Neurospora crassa OR74A: one gene and its partner. The protein of the gene in region 1 interacts with the protein of each later gene in a pairwise test. Links are inferred from orthologs where the notes say so. Each region holds a gene or a part of one and is shown on either strand. Other genes may lie near its edges.

Region 1 (5,384 bases):
TAATAATAAATAAGTAAAAGTAATAATAATAAAGGAAGTTTAAGAGGAAATAGAAATTTTAAAGGAAATTTAGGAAGAAATAGAAATTTAGGAGGAAATTTCCTATAATAAAAGTAAATAGAAGTTCTAAATCGCTTCCACTACCCACTACCTAACACCTATTCCATTCCGTCTACCCTACTATTACTAAAGCCCTTAGCGCTACTACCCTCCAACTATATAAATATTTAAAATAATTACGTAATATAATAATTAACTATAAAATATCCCTACTTAACTCCGAATAGAGACCTAAATAGAAGCTAGAGTCGTTAGTAGTTTTTTTATTATAATACTAAGGGGTATTATAAATAGAACCGACGAATACTATTTTAACTTTCTTTATTTAAAAGTAAAATTAATAGTAGCGTACTCCGTATATACAATCTAATTAATATATAAATTTCCACTTCCGTAGGGGACCTTAATATATATACTATAAGAAATATAGGTAGCGACCCCCAACTCCCACTATATATCTACAATATACTAACGTTATTATAAATAATTACTATTATAATATATAGATTTAAATTATTACACACCTTATCGTAGGGTTTCTATAAATTAAAGCGTAATATATTAGTAATACTAGTACTAATAACTACCAATAATCTAAGATCCTAATACAAATTCGGGGTACTATATAAAGGGGCTTAAAAAAAAGCAGGTGTAAAATAAATACCCGGGCTACGTATTTCTTTATACTACTAAACGCTAGCTACTAGGAATAGAAAATAGGAATAAATATTTAATATTTTTACAATAATAGTAAATAAGGGAATTGCCCTAAACTACTTTAAGGGTAAGGCACAAAGTATACTACCTAAAAATACCTATAGCAACGGAATTAAGATAGTAAATAAATACTAACAGCAACCCCAAAGTAGTAAATTATAAATAAATATTAAATAAATATTACAATAATTTCAAATAATATAATAATACTCATATAATATTTAATTATACCATTCAACTTCCAATCGTATATCAATTAATAATTATTATATTACATATACAATAGTAAAAGTTTAATAAAATAAATTAATATATATATAGTAGGATATTTATAAAAGAAAAAAGAATAAATTTAAAATATAAATTGAACCTTCAAAAATAATTCTTATACGAGTTTATTTTGTATTGTAAATAGATAGTTTAACTAATTATTACTTCGGAGATAAAATAAAATATTAAAGATGAAGTACCTTCGATAATTGAACATTCTATTATATAGAAGTTTCTATTATATACGCGAACCACTTTTTAACGAAAATTCCTATTGTACGCACTACTTTTTATTCTATATAAAATACTATTACTATTTAAGTATACCGTTCTAGCGGGTCAGCTATCCAAACGCAAATAGACCAACTACCGAAACGCATTAATTACAATCCACAATTGTTCAACCAAACATACAATTATCGAAAAGGGGCTTATACAAGCGGATTCGTTCTATAACGCTTTTGCACTGTCAACACCACTGCCTGCACCCTGTTCTGGCCCTGTTGTCAGACCCCCTATTCCCAGCAGGGGGTCAGGTCCTCGCTTCAGGCTGGCTGACGTTGCTGGCTCCAGGCTGAAGTACTTTGGCTCCACTCTGGCGCCGGAAGACACGCCGCCAAGCCTGGAAACTGCCCCGCAGAACCCGTCCAGGCCGTGATACGATGCGGCGGCGGGACCGGGCCACTTTCAGACAGGGGCCGGGCCAGCCACAGCGGACAGTGGCCGTCTGGGCAGGCAGTGGCTGGTGGAAATGGACGCGGCAAAAGTTCTTATCTTATCACTTGCCGGACTGGCAACGCCAAAAAAAAGTTCAGGGACGGCAACCCACTGCGCAGCGGCGACACGATTGTGCTAGTGGACATTGAATCGCGAGAGACCTTGCGCATGTTATTTTGGATTGGCATCTTGTACTAGTGGCTGTCCAATTATCGCAAATATGGTCAAATCATACCTGTAAGCCTTGCGATTCTGTCCTACTTTTCTCTCGCCTGATGGCATCTCTAATACACCTGGGAACAACAGCAAATTCGAGCCCTCCAAGTCCTTCGGTGTCGTCGCAACCAGCTCCTCGAATCTCGTCTGGACCTCCTCCAAAGACAAATCTGGCACCGGTGCGGGCCAGGCTATCGTCGCCGCCAACAATGAGGTTCTAACTTGGGATATCAAGAAGGGCGAGCTTCTCAACCGCTGGAAGGACGAGAACTGCAAGGCCCAGGTCACTGCCATCGCCCAGAGCAAGACCGATCCCGACGTATTCGCTGTCGGCTACGAAGACGGCAGCATCAGGCTGTGGGATAGCAAGATCTCCACCACCATTGTCAGCTTCAATGGACACAAGTCGGCAATCACGATACTGGCCTTCGACAAGTCGGGAGTGCGCCTGGCCAGTGGCGCAAAGGATACCGATGTGATCGTTTGGGATTTGGTCGCCGAAGTCGGCCAGTACAAGCTACGAGGACACAAGGATCAGATCACAGGACTGCGATTCATCGAGCCCGAGCCGCAAATACCCGAAGGCGGCGACGACGAAGAGCAGGCTATGGTGCTGGACAACGAAGCGACAGAAGGTTTCCTCTTGACGACCGGCAAGGATGCGCTCATCAAGCTTTGGGATCTTTCATCACGGCATTGTATCGAGACCCATGTGGCACAGAACAGCGGCGAGTGCTGGGCGCTTGGTGTTTCTCCCGACCTTAGTGGATGCGTCACAGCTGGCAACGACGGCGAGATGAGGGTATGGGCTTTGGATGTAGCAGGACTCGCTTCGTCAGCACGCAAGGTCGATCTCTCGCAAGCAATCAACTTCCTCCACGATCGCGGCACACTACACCGTTCGAGCAAAGAAAGGGCCGTCGAGGTCATCTTCCACCCCCGTCGCGACTATTTTGCAGTACATGGCGTCGAGAAGTCTGTCGAGATTTGGAGGATACGAAACGAAGCCGAAATCAAGAAGAGCTTGGCGAGGAAGCGGAGAAGAAGAAGAGAGCTGGCTGCGAAGAAGGGCAAGAAGGAAGCAGACGCGGAAGAGGAAGACGACAAGGCCGATGATATTTCAAAAGCAGACATCTCCGACGTCTTCGTGCAGCATGTTATCGTGCGGACAACAGGCAAGGTTCGGTCGGTCGCTTGGGCCCTCAGTCAAGGAACCAAGGATCTCCAGCTCCTTGTTGGAGGCACAAACAACCTGCTCGAGACATATACCATTGTTGGAAAGGATAAGCTCAAGTCCAAGGGTGATGCGCCAGACTACAACAAGGCGCTTGCGGTGGAGCTTCCCGGACACCGAACAGACATTCGTGCCCTCTCCATCAGCTCAGACGACAAGATGTTGGCTTCGGCAGCAAACGGCTCCCTCAAGATCTGGAACATCAAGACCAACACATGCATCCGGACATTCGAGTGTGGCTACGCGCTCTGCTGTTCCTTCTTGCCTGGCGACAAGGTGGTCGTGGTCGGAACCAAGGAGGGCGAGCTTCAGCTTTACGATGTTGCTTCGGCATCTCTGTTAGAGAGCGTCAACGCTCACGAGGGCCATGCCATCTGGTCACTACAGGTTCACCCAGACGGCAAGTCCGTTGTTTCTGGCGGTGCTGACAAGACAGCCAAGTTCTGGGACTTCAAGATCGTTCAGGAACAGGTTCTAGGCACGTCAAGGACAACCCCCAAGCTCAAGCTTGTCCAGTCCAAGATTCTCAAGGTATCAGACGATATCCTGAGTCTCAGGTTCTCCCCCGACGCGAAGTTGCTTGCTGTTGCCCTTCTCGACAGCACTGTCAAGGTCTTCTTCGTCGACTCTTTAAAGCTTTACCTCAACCTTTACGGTCACAAGCTGCCCGTTCTCAGCATGGACATCTCCTACGACAACAAGCTCATTGTCACAAGTTCCGCCGACAAGAACATCAGAATCTGGGGTCTCGATTTCGGTGACTGCCACAAGGCTCTCTTCGGTCACCAGGACTCCATCCTCCAAGTTGCTTTTGTTCCTCACAACTCGGACGGCAACGGCCACCATTTCTTCAGTGCCAGCAAGGACCGCACCATCAAGTACTGGGATGCCGACAAGTTCGAGCAGATTCAGAGGATCGACGGCCACCACGGCGAGATCTGGGCCATTGCCGTTGCTCACAGCGGCCAATTCCTCATCAGCGCTAGTCATGACAAGAGTATCCGCGTATGGGAGGAGACGGACGAGCAGATCTTCCTCGAAGAAGAGCGCGAGAAAGAGATTGAGGAGCTGTACGAGAGTACGCTCACCACCTCGCTCGAGCAAGACCCCGACGCCGAGGACGAGAACCGCGAAGTCGGCGCTGCGTCCAAGCAGACGGTTGAGACGCTCATGGCGGGTGAGCGCATTGCCGAGGCGCTCGAACTCGGCATGGCCGACCTCAACGCTATCAAGGAGTGGGAGGAGGCCAAGCAGCAGAACCCCAACGTGGCGCCGCCGCAGCGCAACGTGCTTTTCATGGCGCTCGGCAACATCAGCGCCGAGCAGCATGTCATGAACGTGCTGCAGAAGATCAAGGCGTCGGCGCTGCATGATGCTCTGCTCGTTTTGCCATTCGCCACCGTCCCCATGCTCTTCACCTTCCTCAACATCTTTGCCATGCGCTCCATGAACATCCCGCTTACTTGTAGAATTCTGTTCTTCATGCTCAAGACCCACCACAAGCAGATCGTGGCGAGCAAGACGATGCGCGCCATGTTGGATGGCATTCGCACCAACTTGCGTGGTGCACTCAAGCGCCAGAAGGATGAGATGGGGTACAATGTTGCGGCGCTCAAGGTCGTAGGCATGCAGTTGCAGCATAAGAGCGTGAAGGATTATGTTGATGAGAAGTGGGAAGAGGAGAACGAGGAGAACAAGGCAGTTAAAAAGCGTGCTTTCGTGCAGGTTTCTTGAGCGTCGGATGGTTGGGGTTGGCGAAGGAAACAAACGCCAGCATGATACATGGGAGTGACCTACAGGTGGAGGAAGGGTAGTGTAGGTGGAAAGAGTAGAAGGGATCTGGAAGAGAACAAATCCGTTCCGCACATAACACAACATACATATGATGTCTGACGTAGAGGAGAAAGGGGTGAACGGTGTTGATACCGTTTCTCTTTCGTAAGGTAAAATAGGGCAACGTTTCTCTTTTTTTTGGAGTTGGGGTCTAGTTAAAACGGCATTGCATAGTATTCGTTACCCTTATCTCCAAATTGCTCTGTCTTGAATCTCCCCCATCAAATTCTCCATCTTAACTTCCGGAAGGGAAACGCGTGATGTCTTGATCAGTTCGTCTTCGTGGTGCCGCAATCTATCGTCCACCGTCCACTATCATTGTCTTTTTCCATCCTTC
Region 2 (5,107 bases), on another chromosome or scaffold:
ACGTGCTCGAGGCATGGTGAGTTAAACTATGGGGTCGACGACGCAACGAGAAACGTTACCAAAGGAATCGGCCATTATGGTACATGGCTGACGCTACACACGCATTATTGATACCCAGGGCGAGGCATGAAATAGATTTAGGAATGGGCTTCTCACAAGAAAGAAAACTTCATCAACAATCACACAATCGGCAAACGGGACACTAGCATTCGGTCTATACGTGTATGTGTTTCAAACTTGGTATCACATTATTTCATCCCATTTCACAAAAAATCCACTGCTACTTTTCCCAGCCGTTCGTTATGCTTCCAAAATTTCAAGGCAAAAATCTATGCATCAGCCATAACCAGATCCCCATCCCTCTCCTCAATCGCCGGCGGTGCCAGACTGTCCATTTCCTGCAAAGTATACTCAACAAGGTAACTTTCATCCACCAGCTCTTCTATGCGCTTATAGTGCCTCTCAGTATACACCCTCAACGCGTTGAGCACCTCCTTCAGACTCTTCTGTCCCCTTGCGCCCTTGACCGACAGGTTGGAGAACTTGTTGGCAGGGTAGAGTCGGACGAGCGCCCAGAGGATGCGCTGCGCCACGGGCGCCGTGCGCGCATTGGTGTTCCAGTCGCGCAGCCTCAGCAGGAGCAGGAAAATCTGCTCGTCGGAGAGGTTACCAAGCACCTGATCGACGGCCTTGATACCGCAGAGAGAGCCCTCTTCGGGGGCGTTGGTAGTGACCACGTTAGTGAAGATACCCAGGAGACGACCGGGGTGGTTGAGCTGCAGCGCCAGAATGATAGCGTCACGGTAGGCGCCGGCGTGGATGTAGTTCTCGAGCTGCTGCTCCTGCTCGACGAGCTTGAGGGCGGCCGAGGACGCGGCGGCATGGGTCTCAGCCGAAGTGTCCTTCCAGAAGGTTACGCGGGAGTCGGAACCACCAGACACAAGCATATTGGTCTTGGGGTGCACCGTGAGCGTCCAGAGACGGTCTTCGTGGTTATCGAGCGTGCACTCGGTCTCACCAAGGTTGGCGTCCCAGACCTTGACGAGGGAGTCGGCGCCCGCAGAGGCGAACTGGATGCGCTGCTTGGCCTTGGAGGCGGCAGCAGCAGCCTCGTCTTCAGCGTCGTCAGCGGCCTTGGGAAGGCGCAGCCAAACAACCTTGAGGACGTTATGGGAGTGGCCCTCGAATGTGCGCAGACAGGTGTAGTCCGAGAGGTTCCAGAGCTTGATGGTCTTGTCACCAGAACCCGTCAAGATTACACCCTTACCGGAAACAGCAGTGCCGGTCTCGCCTTGAATGGCAGGCATGCCCTGAGGCGCGAACCGAACCGTCCAGACACCCCTGCGGTGACCCTTGAGGATACCTACGACTTCTAATGTTGCGGAATCCCAGATCTTGACCGTCTTGTCTTGTGATGCCGAGGCAAAAAGCTTTCCGTTGGGGCTGATGTCGAGAGCGTTGATATCCTTCTCGTGGGCTAAGCGACGGAGACTGGTTGAGACGGCTCCCTTTTGTGATGTTCGGGGAATGTCACGCTTCTGAACGAACCGATCCTGGGAACCGGAAATGAGGAATGCGGGCGGGTGGTCGAGGGGGTTCTTGAACGCCTCCGAGTTCTCGGGAGGTACGATCTTGGGGAGTGCGACAGCGCCGACAGACTCGATGTGGCCAGTGAAGACTGCATAGCACTCGAACGAGTTATTGGCTGGGTCAACCCTCCAGAGGCGAGCTGTGTTATCCTTGGCACCACTAGCAACCCAGTGGCCAGACCAGTCTACATCGAGAGACATGACAATATCCTCGTGTCCCTTGAGTAGAGCTACGTCATGGCCAAAGTATGCCGCGCCCTCCTCCTCGTCGCCCAGCTGGGGCTGCTTATCCGCCACGGATACAAGTCTGATATCTTCGGAGTTGGTTGCAAGAGCCATGAGAGACTGATCGGGCAAAAGGTAAACAAGGTCGAGAATTTCGTCGTGTGTTCCCGAGATGCGCCTGAAGGGTTCCAGAGGCTTCGTCGACTTCTTGGTGGCATCGGCGACCGAAGGTGTGCGGTAGAGGGCGAGGGTGAAGTCAGACTGGGCGCAAACAACAAGGTTCTTGTGGGGAAGAGCAAGGGCTGACACTATCGACTCGGCTTCCGACTTGGCGTCTTGCTTTGCTGTGATTTCTTGGTGTGTGGTTGTGTCCCATAGCCTAAGTAGGCCACTTGTTCCAGCCGAATACATCAAGCTTCCGTTGTTGAGGAAGCCGACAGCTTCAACGCCTTCATGGCGCAACATGGGTGTTCCCCTCCATGTCCCCTCCTTCCACAGCCATACTGTCATTGTCTTATCTCTGCTACCGCTGAGAAGGGCATGTAGTTCTGGTGAGTAGTCAAGGCTTTGTACGTTGGACTCGTGCGCTTCTCTCCTCGAAGTCGGGTCGGCGTAAACGGGGTAGGTCTTGCGTTTGCTGAGGTCAAAGATGCGGATCTTGCCGTCCTGTGTGCCGTAGGCAAGACGGAACTTTGAAGCGACGCTGTCATCCTGAGCTTGCTCCTCCTCGGCTGTGCTCTTTCGCCTGTTCTTCTTGTTCTTGTTGCTGGCTTGGTCCTCGAGAGCGGCAATCTCGAAGAAGTGGAGGGCAGAAATAAGGACACTCGGGCCGCTAACGGTATGGGTAACGTATCCTCCGACAATGTCCCAGATCTTGATGGCGCCGTCGGCAGCACCGGTGGCAAGAAGGGTGCTAGTTCGGTCGACCGCGAGAACCACGACGGGGGTGGCGTGGGGCTTCGTGGTGCGTACAAGGGTGGCTTCGATGGAATCGTAATCTGGTGAGACCTTGAGGGAGTATATGCGCATAGTAAGAGAACGAGAGCAGACAATCAGGTGGGAGGCCGAAGGGGTGATGGTGAGGGTCGAGATGGGCTCTCCGTCGCCCTCGATCTCGGCGAGCTGCTTGCCGGTGTTGAGCTCTGTGAGGACGGCCTGCTCGCCGAGGGTGGTCGCGAGGATCCTAGCGCCATTGTCGAGGGCTACGGAACCTCCTGTGAAAATGGGCTGGATGACATTGTTGACCTCGAAGGTCGTCTTGGTGGTGGTTTGCCTGTACGCCATTGTGGTGACGGAGTGTCTGGCTGTACAAGTGGATTAAATCAAACAGAGAGGCAAGGAGGGTTGCGATTGCGCGCCGCCGCCTTTGGGGTTCTGCTGTTAGAACGTCAAGTGTAGGGTGGTACACTGCAAAGTCCCCAATCCCAAAAACTTTTCGCGGGTCGCTGCCTGCCGCCCGCTGATAAGGCCAGGCAATAAGGTTATCTTAGCGCCATGCAGATCCAACCCCTGTAGGAATCCGTGACGAACCACGCTGGAGCACTGGAGCAACTGGAGCATGACCCTCCCTCGGCTTTCTGTGCTCCCCAATCGCCCCCACCAACGTCAACTGTCTGTTCCAGTCTCCATCACTCATCAGCTATACCACCACTATCTTCACCATAACACAATCTCTGGCACAGGACCTAGTTTGTTACACGAGGATGGCCACTGACTGGTCAAATTTCACCGTGTAATGTACACATAAACATCTTGGCAATGCCGGATAGTAATCTACAAACACCTCCTGAATCCAGTTGACCCTTTCACGATGCGGTTGGGCCCACTGACATCACAGGCCCTTGTAAGTCATCGTTGCAAGACTTTCGGGCTACAACTTCGTTCTGACACTAAGGACAGGGCCGGTCTCCCTACGATGAGGTAGTTGAGGGCACTGGCGAGCCCCAACCCGGGGCCCCAGAGCAGTTGTATGATGACCGAGGACGACCAGTGAATCCAGAGACACGGCGCATCAACAGAGACATCATCCGCTCTCACAACGAGGTTATGCTGGTCATCGGCGTTGCCGAACCGGACAGTGGCATCAACGAGGCCCAAGCTCTATACGAAGCCGCCACCAAGCACCAGTACTACGAAGATGGAATTGGGAGGAAGCTGTTCCTCACCGGCGAGGTCTTGGCCACCGTCGGAGTCTGGGGAGTCAACGGCTTGAGGCAGCGTATCTTGCTGTACAAGGACTACGCCCATGTTCCCTTTTCTCGTCTATTTCACTTTCACAGGCGCCAGCAGTCATGGGGAGAGTACCTCTGGGCCGGGCTGCCATCGTATGTCCTGAGCGATAGTTTTGCTGGATTCGACATGCCAGAATACCCATGGGTCAAGTACGTGTTCTCCTGGGTCAACTTACACCTAGAGATCTTCGTCTTCATGCAACGAACCGGCCTTGTGAACACCTCGAGATGGGTTCCCACCCTTGGTTTCTTCATTCCAGGCTGCAATGACTCCCCAATCTTCCTACCAAAACTCCCATCCTCCTTTACCCCTGGAAGCATCATCAGCTGGCTCGGCGCCTTTGTCGCCGGTATCGCCCCTTTTGCCGGCTACTGGTTCTTTTCAAAGACATACGCCCGGCTCGTCTGGTCACTTAGGCGGAAAATCCAACGACGCTTGCCCAAACCCATCAACTTCAGCAGGAGGAGGACTCTTAAGGAGGTAGTCCCCTATTTACAACCGCCCAGTGGAACATACATCCCTCCCACACCCACACCAGAAGAGCAGCAACAGCGACAAGAAACTCAGCCACGAACACCGACACCAACACAACAGCAGCAACAACAAGCCCCAAGCGCAAACGCAATCGAAGCAGGCTGGGAAATGGTCCACGCCCCCTCGGACACCCTTCCAACCAACGACGCCCTCCCTACCGGTCCTCCACCCGATGGTACCCGCCGCCGCCAAAGCATCATCTCCGTCAGCGGTCCCGGTCCCGGCACTCCCGGCGGTCCCAACGGATCCACCTCGAACACAAACCAATCCCAATCTCAATCCCCAGCAGCAACAGCCGACGAAGCCCCTTTCCTCAGCGACGACGACGAAGAAACCGAGCACGTCAACCCCACTCTAATCACCTTTGACGTCGACACCAGCGACTCCGCCACCAGCGACTCCGCGCCCATCCCTCCCGGCGCAGCAGTTTGGGCCGCCGAGCTGAGGCCTAACGTGCCTGATACCTCTGCTGGCTCGAACCGTAACTCGCAACAAACACAAACCAATAATAGCAGCAGCTTGGGTTT

What was found.
Region 2: the proteins of NCU03051 (region 1) and pod-5 interact in binary tests that used the Saccharomyces cerevisiae proteins (3 or more experiments, as listed by UniProt). The link is inferred for Neurospora crassa OR74A from reciprocal best matches to the Saccharomyces cerevisiae genes DIP2 and UTP13.

Annotation. Positions count from the first base shown.
Region 1 is NC_026501.1:8,275,386-8,280,769, reverse strand, and holds NCU03051 (WD domain-containing protein), read left to right. Parts: upstream 1-1,870; 5' UTR 1,871-1,984; coding exon 1,985-2,001; intron 2,002-2,070; coding exon 2,071-4,948; 3' UTR 4,949-5,294; downstream 5,295-5,384. UniProt on the Saccharomyces cerevisiae protein: Involved in nucleolar processing of pre-18S ribosomal RNA.
Region 2 is NC_026505.1:1,894,156-1,899,262, reverse strand, and holds pod-5 (polarity defective-5), read right to left. Parts: upstream 3,192-5,107; 5' UTR 3,099-3,191; coding exon 330-3,098; 3' UTR 181-329; downstream 1-180. Other genes in the region: NCU03627 (hypothetical protein), read left to right, coding at 3,625-3,657, 3,714-5,107. UniProt on the Saccharomyces cerevisiae protein: Involved in nucleolar processing of pre-18S ribosomal RNA.